3 linked regions of the Oryctolagus cuniculus genome follow. The protein of the gene in region 3 interacts with the protein of the main gene of each other region in a pairwise test. Links are inferred from orthologs where the notes say so. Each region holds a gene or a part of one and is shown on either strand. Other genes may lie near its edges. The genes, in order: NEBL, IMP3 and ZYX.

Region 1 (3,648 bases), on a different chromosome or scaffold from region 3:
AAGGATTACATGGCCAAATAAAAACAGAATTTTGCTGAGGGATTATAGGAAACTTTACTTTGTATTTATGTTGTTTTAACATAGCATCTGTAATAGAGTAATAAAAATATCTCAAATGTCTTACAACTGCATGCAACATGATATTTTGTGTGTCCTCACTTACCAAGATTGATACTAATCTAGAGATTGCTTGTAACCCTGTTACTCAAGTTCACTTGGCACTGACAAGGACATCTTGTTCCAGAAGCTGCCAGCGCAGCATGGGGTCACTGTGTGGGCCGGGGAGTGGTGCTTGGAAGCTAAGTTTAAGGTGTCTATGTGTGTGTGTTTCCTGGGCAGCACCGGTTCTTCCTGGAGCCTACCAGCAAAGCCATTCCCAGGGCTACGGGTTCATGCACCAGGCCAGCGTGTCATCCATGAGGTCCATACAGCATTCTCCAAATCTAGTAAGTGTCAGTCAGACATACGTCTTCCACTCTGGTTTCATTCTACCTCAAAAACACCGGTAAATACACGTGGAATAGAGGCGAGTTGAATGTTGAGCTTTTTCATGTAAAGATAGGTGGTGATGTGCTGCCGTTTCTACAGTTCTTTCAAAGGGAGCAAGAAATGTCCAGAGTTAAAGCGTTGAAAAAGGAAGGCATTACTAAGCATATTAAAAAAAAAAAAAAAAAGAAAACTTAAAAGGGGTCTGCGAGTAACAATATCCCGATGGCGTCAGTTGCGGTTTTCACTCAGGCCGAGAAAGCACAGATGGGAAGCATCTTCATACAGCTCATGGAAGATATTTATCACAAAACAGCTATGTGTGGATTTCAAAACTTTTTTTTTGCACCAACATAAACTCATCTTTAATTCACTTTTTCTATGTACTCTTTGAAGTACCTTCATATTTGATGGCCACATTAACAAATTAAACCTTTTTTTTTTTTTTGACAGGCAGAGTGGACAGTGAGAGAGAGAGACAGAGAGAAAGATCTTCCTTTTGCCATTGGTTCACCCTCCAATGGCCGCCGCGGCCAGCGCGCTGCGGCCGGCGCACTGCGCTGATCCGAAGCCAGGAGCCAGGCGCTTCCTCCTGGTCTCCCATGGGGTGCAGGGCCCAAGCACTTGGGCCATCCTCCACTGCACTCCCTGGCCACAGCAGAGAGCTGGCCTGGAAGAGGGGCAACCGGGACAGAATCCGGCGCCCCGACCGGGACTAGAACCCGGTGTGCCGGCGCCGCAAGGCGGAGGATTAGCCTAGTGAGCCACAGCGCTGGCTTAAATCTTGACATTTATTAAAATGGCCACAAAAGTGTGAATGACCCAGAGTGGGGAAAAATGTGCCTTCAGATCCCGGCTCTGGAAATCTTGAAGTACTGATGCATCTGCTGAGTGTGGCGTTTGAAACCATCCGATCGCACTCAACATCTTGTGCTCGAACTGCTTCTCCAAGCCTGGGACCTAGCCGCTGGCTGCTTCCTGCACACTTAGAAGCAGGTGGCTCCCTAAGCTACAAGAGGACTTTAATGTCTCTGCCTTTCTTTGTGTCCTGGCCAGTGTCTTCAATTCCATAATGCACTAGATTTTGAGGTTGTGTGATAATTAGTTGAATTCATACCCTGAAGCAAAAGCAAATACAGGAAAACTCAATTTAAAGATTTCCCCTTATGACATTTATATTAAATATACCTCAATATTCATAACATTTATATGCTGAATTTCTGTCACTATGATACAAAAAAACCTATAAAGTCAGTAGATGATGAATTTTTCTTTTCTTAAAATGTATTTTTGAGGCGAAACAAAAATTCTTAGTACTGTTCAAGAAGTCCACGGCCTCTGCTGGGTACCGGGAACTGCCTCCATGGTGGGTTTTGTTCTCTGAAAAATGTGGCTCAGGGGAGACCCTACATCATCTAAGGACACTGGGATTATGTGAAGCTGTTGCCTTTACTGTTCCCAAGCCTACTTTTCCACGGGTTTGCTAAGCTATTTGTGGCTTTTCAAACTGTAATGCCCCCCACCCCATACTGCGCATTTGTTGCTAGGCTGCTTAATTTGCAATCAATCCGACTAGACGGATTTCCAGAAAGAGATGCACTTGCAAATGCTCCTAGCAGTTCCCTTTTGCGTGGGTTAGGCTGGTCGTGCCTGGTATCTGTGGTCATGACCGTCTTGGTGTTCATCGTGTGATCTCTTGTTGCCTTCTCAGAGGACCTACCGGGCCATGTACGACTACAGCGCCCAGGACGAAGACGAGGTCTCCTTCCGAGATGGCGACTACATCGTCAACGTGCAGCCCATCGACGACGGCTGGATGTACGGCACCGTGCAGAGAACGGGCAGAACAGGGATGCTGCCGGCCAATTACATTGAATTTGTTAATTAAGTCTTTCTCCTTGCCCTTTGAGCTTTATTCTAATGTATTCTAAATCTGATCTTTTTAAAAGATAGACGATACTTTTAAGAAAATTTGGCAGTTATTTTACAATAATGTATCCTTACTTTGACAAGTAGACACACAGGTACCAGGAAGAAGGAGGGACTTCTGGGCTGGAGACAGCAGTGTTTTCAGGAATTCCTGTACACAAAATCGTTAATGTCTGCAGACCTGGTGCTGCGAATTGTGTTCGTGGTTTCTTTTGATTGGCTATTGAACCCTTCTGGGGAAATGTATTTTTGTAGACTTATTTAATAGAAGTGTTGATTGTCCCTTCAATGTCATGAGTAATATGAGACTTCTTAGCTGTCACTTTGGAATCATCACCAAGAAGCCAATTCTCTTAATTCAGTAATGCAGCCGATAATTTAAACACTGGTGAGTTTTGGAGTCATTGGGCGATTTCCAGCTCAGGCAAAAATTGCCTAATGCAGTAAATGTAAGCAATGGCAAAATGACAGTTTGGTTAAAATTATATGGACTGGTGGCCTTAGGGACCTAGAAACATCCGCGTGCCCTGGGCTGACCGAGATCTGTTTGTTTCTCATTTGTACCAAGGCGTTCCCCCCTCTCCATCTGCGTTCTCTGGACCCTGTGTAGCCTCAGCTCCACAGAATGTCAGGACCAAGCACCTTCACAGCTACTCTGCAGAGGGGACACTGTGATGTCATCTCTCGTGTTTCCCTAGTAGCCCTGAGCCTGTTGCATGTCCTGTAGGTTCCAGCTTTTGTAACATAGGCAGCTGTCCTGCCCACCCCTGTAATTAAAGAAAAAACCTTGGCTGCTCCTACAGCCCTTCCTCTAGCTGCTGGCTCATCGAATAACATATTTTGAGAAGTTGCTTGAGATTTTCCTGCATTGCACTCTAGTTTTGAAGGATTTACATCTTAGGAAATAACACGTATACTCTAGTAAATAAGTGATCTAGGTGTTTATTGAACAGCTTTCATTAACTTAACACTGCTGTTGATTTAAAAATGAAAATGTTATAGAAACCAGTGGAAAAATGGATTGTGGAATGCATGGGAGTCAAACCCAGCAAACAAAAAGTTAGCAACTCCACCTTGAGATGATGTAGCCTCCGGGTTTGGAAACTGCCAGTCAGATTCTGGCATGGAAATCTAGCCGCTGAAATTGGTCCATCTGAAGACTTCCTGTCCACTTTCCAGCTTTTATTTTCCAAGTCACCTTAAGCAATGAGATAGGAATGTCTGCAGAGATTT
Region 2 (2,659 bases), on a different chromosome or scaffold from region 3:
CCACTCAGGATGCGGGCTTGGACAACCAGACTGTCAATTAATGGAATATTACACAGCAGGGGGAAAGTAATTACGGCTACATATAACAGACAGCACACAGAGCCAAGTCTTCCACGCCAACACTTCTCAGATGTCAGCGCACTTGGACCAATCACCCCCCCTCCCCGACGCTGAGCTGCAGGCTCTGGTTCCAAAGGCAAGGGAGGGGGCCGCAGGGGGCCGCAGGGGGCTGCCAGCAGCCCTCTGCTGCTCCCAGGCTTCGCGCTGGTCTATCCAGCCACGCCCGCGTGGTGACCAAACTGCTTCTTTTTGAACGGAATAATGCACATTCCGGGAGGGGAGGGACTTTCATCCTTGGGAAAGGACACGGCTGGGACTGGTTTTGGGCGAGCCTCATAACTTACGAGTTACCTGCATTCTTTTAAAACCAGATACCAAATACTACCGAGTATTACAACGAAGAGATAGCTAGGTGGCGTCCCAGGCCTGCGGCCCCAGCAGCCTTCCCCTCCCGTTAACGCCACCCCGGAGGGCCACGGCCAGCCCGGCGGGCCAATGCGTCCGAGCCCAGGCCAAAACGTCCACGGCGCAGGTCTGATGAGTGGACAGTCCGTGTTAGCAGCGTCCGTCTCCAGCCCCGCCCCCCCCCCCGCAAGCTCCGCGTTCCGCGCGTCCTGGGAACCAGTACTTCATAGACTCGGTGCCACCTCCCCGCCCCTGGGCACGGGGCGACCGCTCGGTCCCCTGGAGGTGGGGGACAATCCCTGGACAGGCCGGGAAGCTGAAGGCCGGCGCAGGAAACCCCCGCAGAGAGGGCCCAAGTCGCCCCGCTTCCCCTTCGGCTCGCGAGAGGAGACTCTCCCGAGAGACGCCAAAAAGCAGAAATCTGGGAGAAAACTGCTACCGCCCTGGGGAAGGCATTCCCGGCCTCCACGCGCGGCAAGGAGCTTCCTCGAGACACGCCCCTCGCCGCCACCCGCTGGGCTCGGGACCAGGAGAAGGGAAGTAACGCGAGATCCGGACAGGAGGCGTGGCCCCACCCTGGCCAATGGGAAACTAGGGGCGTGGCCTCGAGCCCTTCCTTCATTGGCCCGAGCACAGCGGGCGGAAGTCGCGCGCCAGGCGGAACGCGCCGCCGGCTTCGGGTCTCGCGCTGCGGCGGCCGCCATCATGGTCCGGAAGCTGAAGTTTCACGAGCAGAAGCTGCTGAAGCAGGTGGACTTCCTGAACTGGGAGGTCACTGACCACAACCTGCACGAGCTGCGCGTGCTGCGGCGGTACCGGCTGCAGCGGCGCGAGGACTACACGCGCTACAACCAGCTGAGCCGTGCCGTGCGCGAGCTGGCGCGCCGCCTGCGCGACCTGCCCGAGCGCGACCCGTTCCGCGTGCGCGCCTCGGCCGCGCTGCTGGACAAGCTGTACGCGCTCGGCCTGGTGCCCACGCGCGGCTCGCTGGAGCTCTGCGACTCGGTCACGGCCTCGTCGTTCTGCCGCCGCCGCCTGCCCACCGTGCTGCTCAAGCTGCGCATGGCGCAGCACCTCCAGGCGGCCGTGGCCTTCGTGGAGCAGGGCCACGTGCGCGTGGGCCCCGACGTGGTCACCGACCCCGCCTTCCTGGTCACGCGCAGCATGGAGGACTTCGTCACCTGGGTCGATTCGTCCAAGATCAAGCGGCACGTGCTGGAGTACAACGAGGAGCGCGATGACTTCGACCTGGAAGCCTAGCCCGGGGAGACCGAGAGGCCTGCGGCCGGATTCCCCCAGAGCGTGCCGGCGGCCGTGGGCGCTCTAGGAACTGGACCCCTAGTCGCAGGCCACGCAGAACCAGGGGAGTACTTACTGTCTTCCTAGAACTCGGACGCCTGATGGTGACAGCGGGAAGCCGTGCTGTGCTCGGGGTGGGGTGGGGGACTCTAAATTTCCCGCGCCCTACACCTTGCAGGGTAGTAGCCAGAACTCCGGCGCGCCCACGCCCACCTCGTCTGTATCGTCTCGTGGCTGTTTGGCTCGGTTTCTTGCCCCCTGATCGTGAGTTAGCTGCTCACCGTGGCAGAGTTAAGGCGCAAGTTTAAATAAAGCGAGTGTTCAGGGTCCCCTCCGTCATTTAAAGGAGTGTCTCCCTGACGCCCAGCTACTTTGGAAGTGCCCCTCTCTCTCTCTCTGGTTTTCTCAACACGGGGTCAGTTCTGTAGGTCTCCCAGCTCAGGAACCCGGCGCCGAGAGGCTGCGGGTGCTGCTGTTACGGCCGGACGGGTTTGTCACTTGACCGGGCCCCTTCCTCGGGCTGAGGGCTTCGGCAGAGCTCTTGCCCGCAGGATTCCCTGTTGGTGTTCCAGCCGCGGACCAGCGGAGAGGGCTGAGGGCACTCCTCACGCTGCAGCCTGGCCACCTGGCGGTTAGACGTGGCCCAGGAGGCTTCCGGGCACTTGAATGCTCTTAGGGGGCGGTGGAGGCTTGGAAGGGAAGGAGAATGTGGACAACATCCGGGTGTGTGGTCCCCGGAATGATGGGATGGTGGTGTGGGGTGGTGACAGTAGCAAGCGCCTCCTGTGCCAGGCTCGGCGTGAATGCGTGCCGAATGTTGTTAACCCGTGTGGCCCTCCCAGCAGCCCTGTGAAGTGAGGAGTCTGTTAGTCTCTGCTTTCCACCTGCGGGAACC
Region 3 (3,748 bases):
CATTGCTCCACCTGACGGCAGGTGCTGGAGGAAGCCGGCTGCTTCGTGGGTGTGACCGGGCCCACCCCCTCAGCGGGCAGCCTCCACTTCCCCAGCGTGAAGTAAGGGGCGAGTCTGGATGCTCTCAAAAGCATCTCCCAGATGCTCCTTGGCAGTGGGGTTCAGTCGGTTTGGAGGGCCAGGGCGGAGACACTGAGTCAACAAGAGGTCTGTTTCAGATGTCACTCAGGGCTGATGGAATGAGAGAGTGGAGAGTGGGTGGATACTGGACTAGAGGGCAAAGGCCTAGACTCCATAGCTTTGCAAGCGTGGAGTTCAGCCACTGGGTAAGTTTCCGTGCGCAATTAAAAAATAAAAAGTGGCACTCAGGTTTGGTCTCCTTGGCGTAGCCTGGGGCTGAGCAACCCGGTCGGATGAGTGGGGGCTCTACCGAGCTGTGTCGCTCGGGAGGCTCCCGAAGGCGTGGGTCGCGGCGGAGGCTCAGCTGTGGCAGGCTTGTTGCTCGCGTCCACGTCTCCCCGGGTCCTACTAGATCCTCCGGCTGCCCTGGCCAGGGCTGAGCAGCCCCCTACCTACCTCCCTCGGGCCCGCTGGTCCAGAATATCTCTGGCGCAACTGATCCGCAGCCGGGGGCGCCAGTGTTGCGAATTCCTAGAAGCCTGCAGAGGCTGCCTAGGGTTGGAAGTTACGATACCCCTAGGTCGCAAGAGGTTCAGGCTCACACAGCCACCGATCGCCGAAGGGCCTGCCAGGAGGGCGCGGGACGAGAACGGCCCTGGTCCTGGTCCTGCAGCCAGCGCTGGCCGGTGGGTTCTCGGGGCGCGGTGCTGCCGACGGCGTGGGAGGTGCAGCCGTGAGGGTGGCAGGGCCGCAGGTAACTGCAGGCCCCAGAGGAGGCGGCTGGGCCAGGGCGGAGGCGCAAGGGGGCTGCTCGCTCCGTTGCCTCGGGGGACCCTTTCGACCTCCGCCGGCTCAGCCCGGAGTGGGGCCAGTGAGTCAGATCTCCGGCACCCGCTGACGGGCGCGGAGTTGGGGGTGGGGGGGCAGGTCAGGAAATGACATCAGAGGCCTGTGCTCAGGGAGGGGTGGTCTGCGACCGGCCAGGGCTGCGAGCACGGCTGGGAGTGCGGCGGGGGCGGGCGGACCTTAGCGGAGCCCTCGGCCCAGGGCAGGATCTGGGCCCCTTCCTGGGGGAGTTTCCTGCCGCGCCCGCCCTGTCTCTCCCCGCCCCCTCTCCGGGCCGCTCCTTGTATGGTCGCGGCGCCGCTCTCTCCCCGCCCCCTGCCGCCCTCCCTCCTCTTCCCTGCGTCCCTCCCCCGCCTGGCTGGAGGCTGCTCGGGACCGGGACGCACAGTCCGCAGACCCGGCGCCGAGGCGGCCACTGGAGACGCGGCGCGCACGCTCCGGTCCGCGGTGAGGCGCGGGGCGCGGGGCTCCGGGAGGCGGCGGGTGGGGGTCGTCGGGAGGCGCTCGGGCCTCCGGGGGAGTCTCCTGCCCAGCCCAGCGCAGTTCGGCGCCGCGTAACCTGGAGACCCACCCCCAGCAGCCCGGCCAGGCCATGGCGGCCCCCCGCCCGCCTCCCGCGATCTCCGTCTCGGTCTCGGCTCCGGCGTTTTACGCCCCGCAGAAGAAGTTCGGCCCGGTGGTGGCACCGAAGCCCAAAGTAAATCCTTTCCGGCCCGGGGACGGCGAGCCTCCAGCGGCAGCCGGGGCCCAGCGCGCACAGATGGGCCGGGTGGGCGAGATCCCCCCGCCGCCCCCGGAAGGTATGCGGCAGGGCTGAGGGGCTGGACCCCCGCGGGCGGCGGGGTGGGGGCAGTGGGATTGAGCAAGGGGCGGGGGGACGCCTGCAAAGGTAGCTGCGGAGGGGGCTGGGTGCAGCCACCCTGTCCCGAGCAGATGTTCTTACCTCATCGTGGAGCTCATGGCTGGGAGCCAGGGCTCCTGGGATCGTTCCAAGTCCCCGCCTGGGGGTGGGAGGCGGGAATGTGGGCCACGAATCTTCCCCTGTGGGTCCGTTTTCCCAAGTGTAACGGGAGCCGCACCACTCCTCGGCCGTGCCCCCCCACCTCCGGCCTTTCCTGACCTGTGCCCCCCTGGGCGCCCTGCACCCCTCCTTTCCCTTCCCGCACACTCCAGGACCCCCGAGGCAGTTCTTGGGTTAGGGTTAGAGTCAGAGCTGTGGACGGAGGGCAGCTTGGGGCAGCGGTGGCGGGGCCGCTGCCGATGGCCGCTTCTCTCCCCGCCCTAGACTTTCCCTTACCCCCGCCTCCCCCACCTGGGGATGGCGACGACGCGGAGGGTGCGCTGGGAGGTGCCTTCCCCCCGCCGCCTCCCCCGATCGAGGAACCGTTCCCCCCTGCACCTTCCGAGGAGGACATCTTTCCTTCTCCACCGCCCCCGCTGGAGGATGAGGGCACGCCCGAGGCCCCCATGCCGCCCCCGCCGCAGGTATGGAGGCCTGGGGAGGGGTCAGTGCACTGGGACGCCTCAAGGAAAGGAGAGAAGGGGGCCTGCTGTGACCTGCCCCTGTACCTCTGCCCTGTTGCGGGAGGGGTGGCGTGGGAATGGGAGACGGGGATGGATGCTCTGACCCCTGATCCTGTAGCCCAGGGAGAAGGTGAGCAGCATCGACCTGGAGATCGACTCTCTGTCCTCACTGCTGGATGACATGACCAAGAATGATCCCTTCAAAGCCCGGGTAAGGGCCTGGGGAGTAGGCACCCTGAGTGCCAGGGAGGAGAGACTGGAGAAGGAAGCGTGGAGGGCAGCCCCTGCCTCTAACTTGCTTCTCTCCCTCTGCCTCTCTTGCAGGTGTCATCTGGATATGTGCCCCCTCCAGTTGCCACTCCATTCATTCCCAAGTCCAGTACTAAGCCTGCGACCGGGGGCACAGCACCCTTGCCCCCCTGGAAGGCACCTCCCAGCTCCCAGCCCGTGTCCCAGCCTCAGAGCCAAGCGCTGTTCCATGTCCAGCCCCAGGCTCAGCCCCAGGCCCAGCCCCAGACCAAGCCTCAGGTCCAGCTGCATGTGCAGCCTCAGCCCCAGGCTCATTCCCAGCCTGTGTCTTCCGCTAACGCGCAGTCCCGAGGTCCTCCAGCTCCACCTCCAGCACCAGCCCCTAAGTTTTCTCCAGTGGCTCCCAAGTTTACTCCCGTGGCTTCCAAGTTCAGCCCTGGAGCCCCCGGTGGCCCTGGGTCACAGCCCAGTCAAAAGCTGGGACCTCCGGAAGCTGCTTCTTCCACTGGCACGGGTTCCCCTCAACCCCCCAGCTTCACCTATGCTCAGCAGAAAGAGAAGCCCCGCGTGCAGGAGAAGCAGCACCCAGTGCCCCCACCTGCTCAGAAGCAAAACCAGGTGAGGGGGCGAGATAGGTCAGGGCCGAGACCAGGGTGCTGGGGGAGGGAATCACAGTGGAGGTGGCTTGGGAGAGATGGGGTGGGCATCAGTGTGGTGGGTCCATCGGTCAGACAATGGGAAGGGAGAGAGTTTCTGCAGGGGCTGGCTGGGGCGTGGCTCCAGATTTGGAATTAGAGGATTTGGTGCACATTCTCTTGCGCTTCTGCCCTGGGAGGTTAAAGGGGAGGATGACATCACCGGTCCAATGTTGGTTTTTCCCCATTCCTGGGCCTTAAGTTAATCTCGCAGCTCCTCTGGTCCTTTCACTGCCCGAGGGCCCATCTGGAGATAAGAGCCACAGCCCCAGTAAACAAAGACTGAGCCAACATCAGCTGGATGCCAGGCACTG

Evidence for each region.
Region 1: the proteins of ZYX (region 3) and NEBL interact in a two-hybrid assay, tested with the Homo sapiens proteins (2 studies listed by BioGRID and IntAct). The link is inferred for Oryctolagus cuniculus from reciprocal best matches to the Homo sapiens genes ZYX and NEBL.
Region 2: the proteins of ZYX (region 3) and IMP3 interact in binary tests that used the Homo sapiens proteins (3 or more experiments, as listed by UniProt). The link is inferred for Oryctolagus cuniculus from reciprocal best matches to the Homo sapiens genes ZYX and IMP3.

The regions. Positions count from the first base shown.
Region 1 is NC_091444.1:47,107,845-47,111,492, reverse strand, and holds part of NEBL (nebulette), read left to right. Parts: intron 1-339; coding exon 340-446; intron 447-2,197; coding exon 2,198-2,374; 3' UTR 2,375-3,648. UniProt on the Homo sapiens protein: Binds to actin and plays an important role in the assembly of the Z-disk. May functionally link sarcomeric actin to the desmin intermediate filaments in the heart muscle sarcomeres.
Region 2 is NC_091443.1:108,367,925-108,370,583, forward strand, and holds IMP3 (U3 small nucleolar ribonucleoprotein protein IMP3), read left to right. Parts: upstream 1-1,097; 5' UTR 1,098-1,170; coding exon 1,171-1,725; 3' UTR 1,726-2,142; downstream 2,143-2,659. UniProt on the Homo sapiens protein: Component of the 60-80S U3 small nucleolar ribonucleoprotein (U3 snoRNP). Required for the early cleavages during pre-18S ribosomal RNA processing. Part of the small subunit (SSU) processome, first precursor of the small eukaryotic ribosomal subunit.
Region 3 is NC_091434.1:180,378,468-180,382,215, reverse strand, and holds the start of ZYX (zyxin), read left to right. Parts: upstream 1-1,221; 5' UTR 1,222-1,251; coding exon 1,252-1,413; intron 1,414-1,543; coding exon 1,544-1,766; intron 1,767-2,251; coding exon 2,252-2,451; intron 2,452-2,608; coding exon 2,609-2,701; intron 2,702-2,814; coding exon 2,815-3,357; intron 3,358-3,748. UniProt on the Homo sapiens protein: Adhesion plaque protein. Binds alpha-actinin and the CRP protein. Important for targeting TES and ENA/VASP family members to focal adhesions and for the formation of actin-rich structures.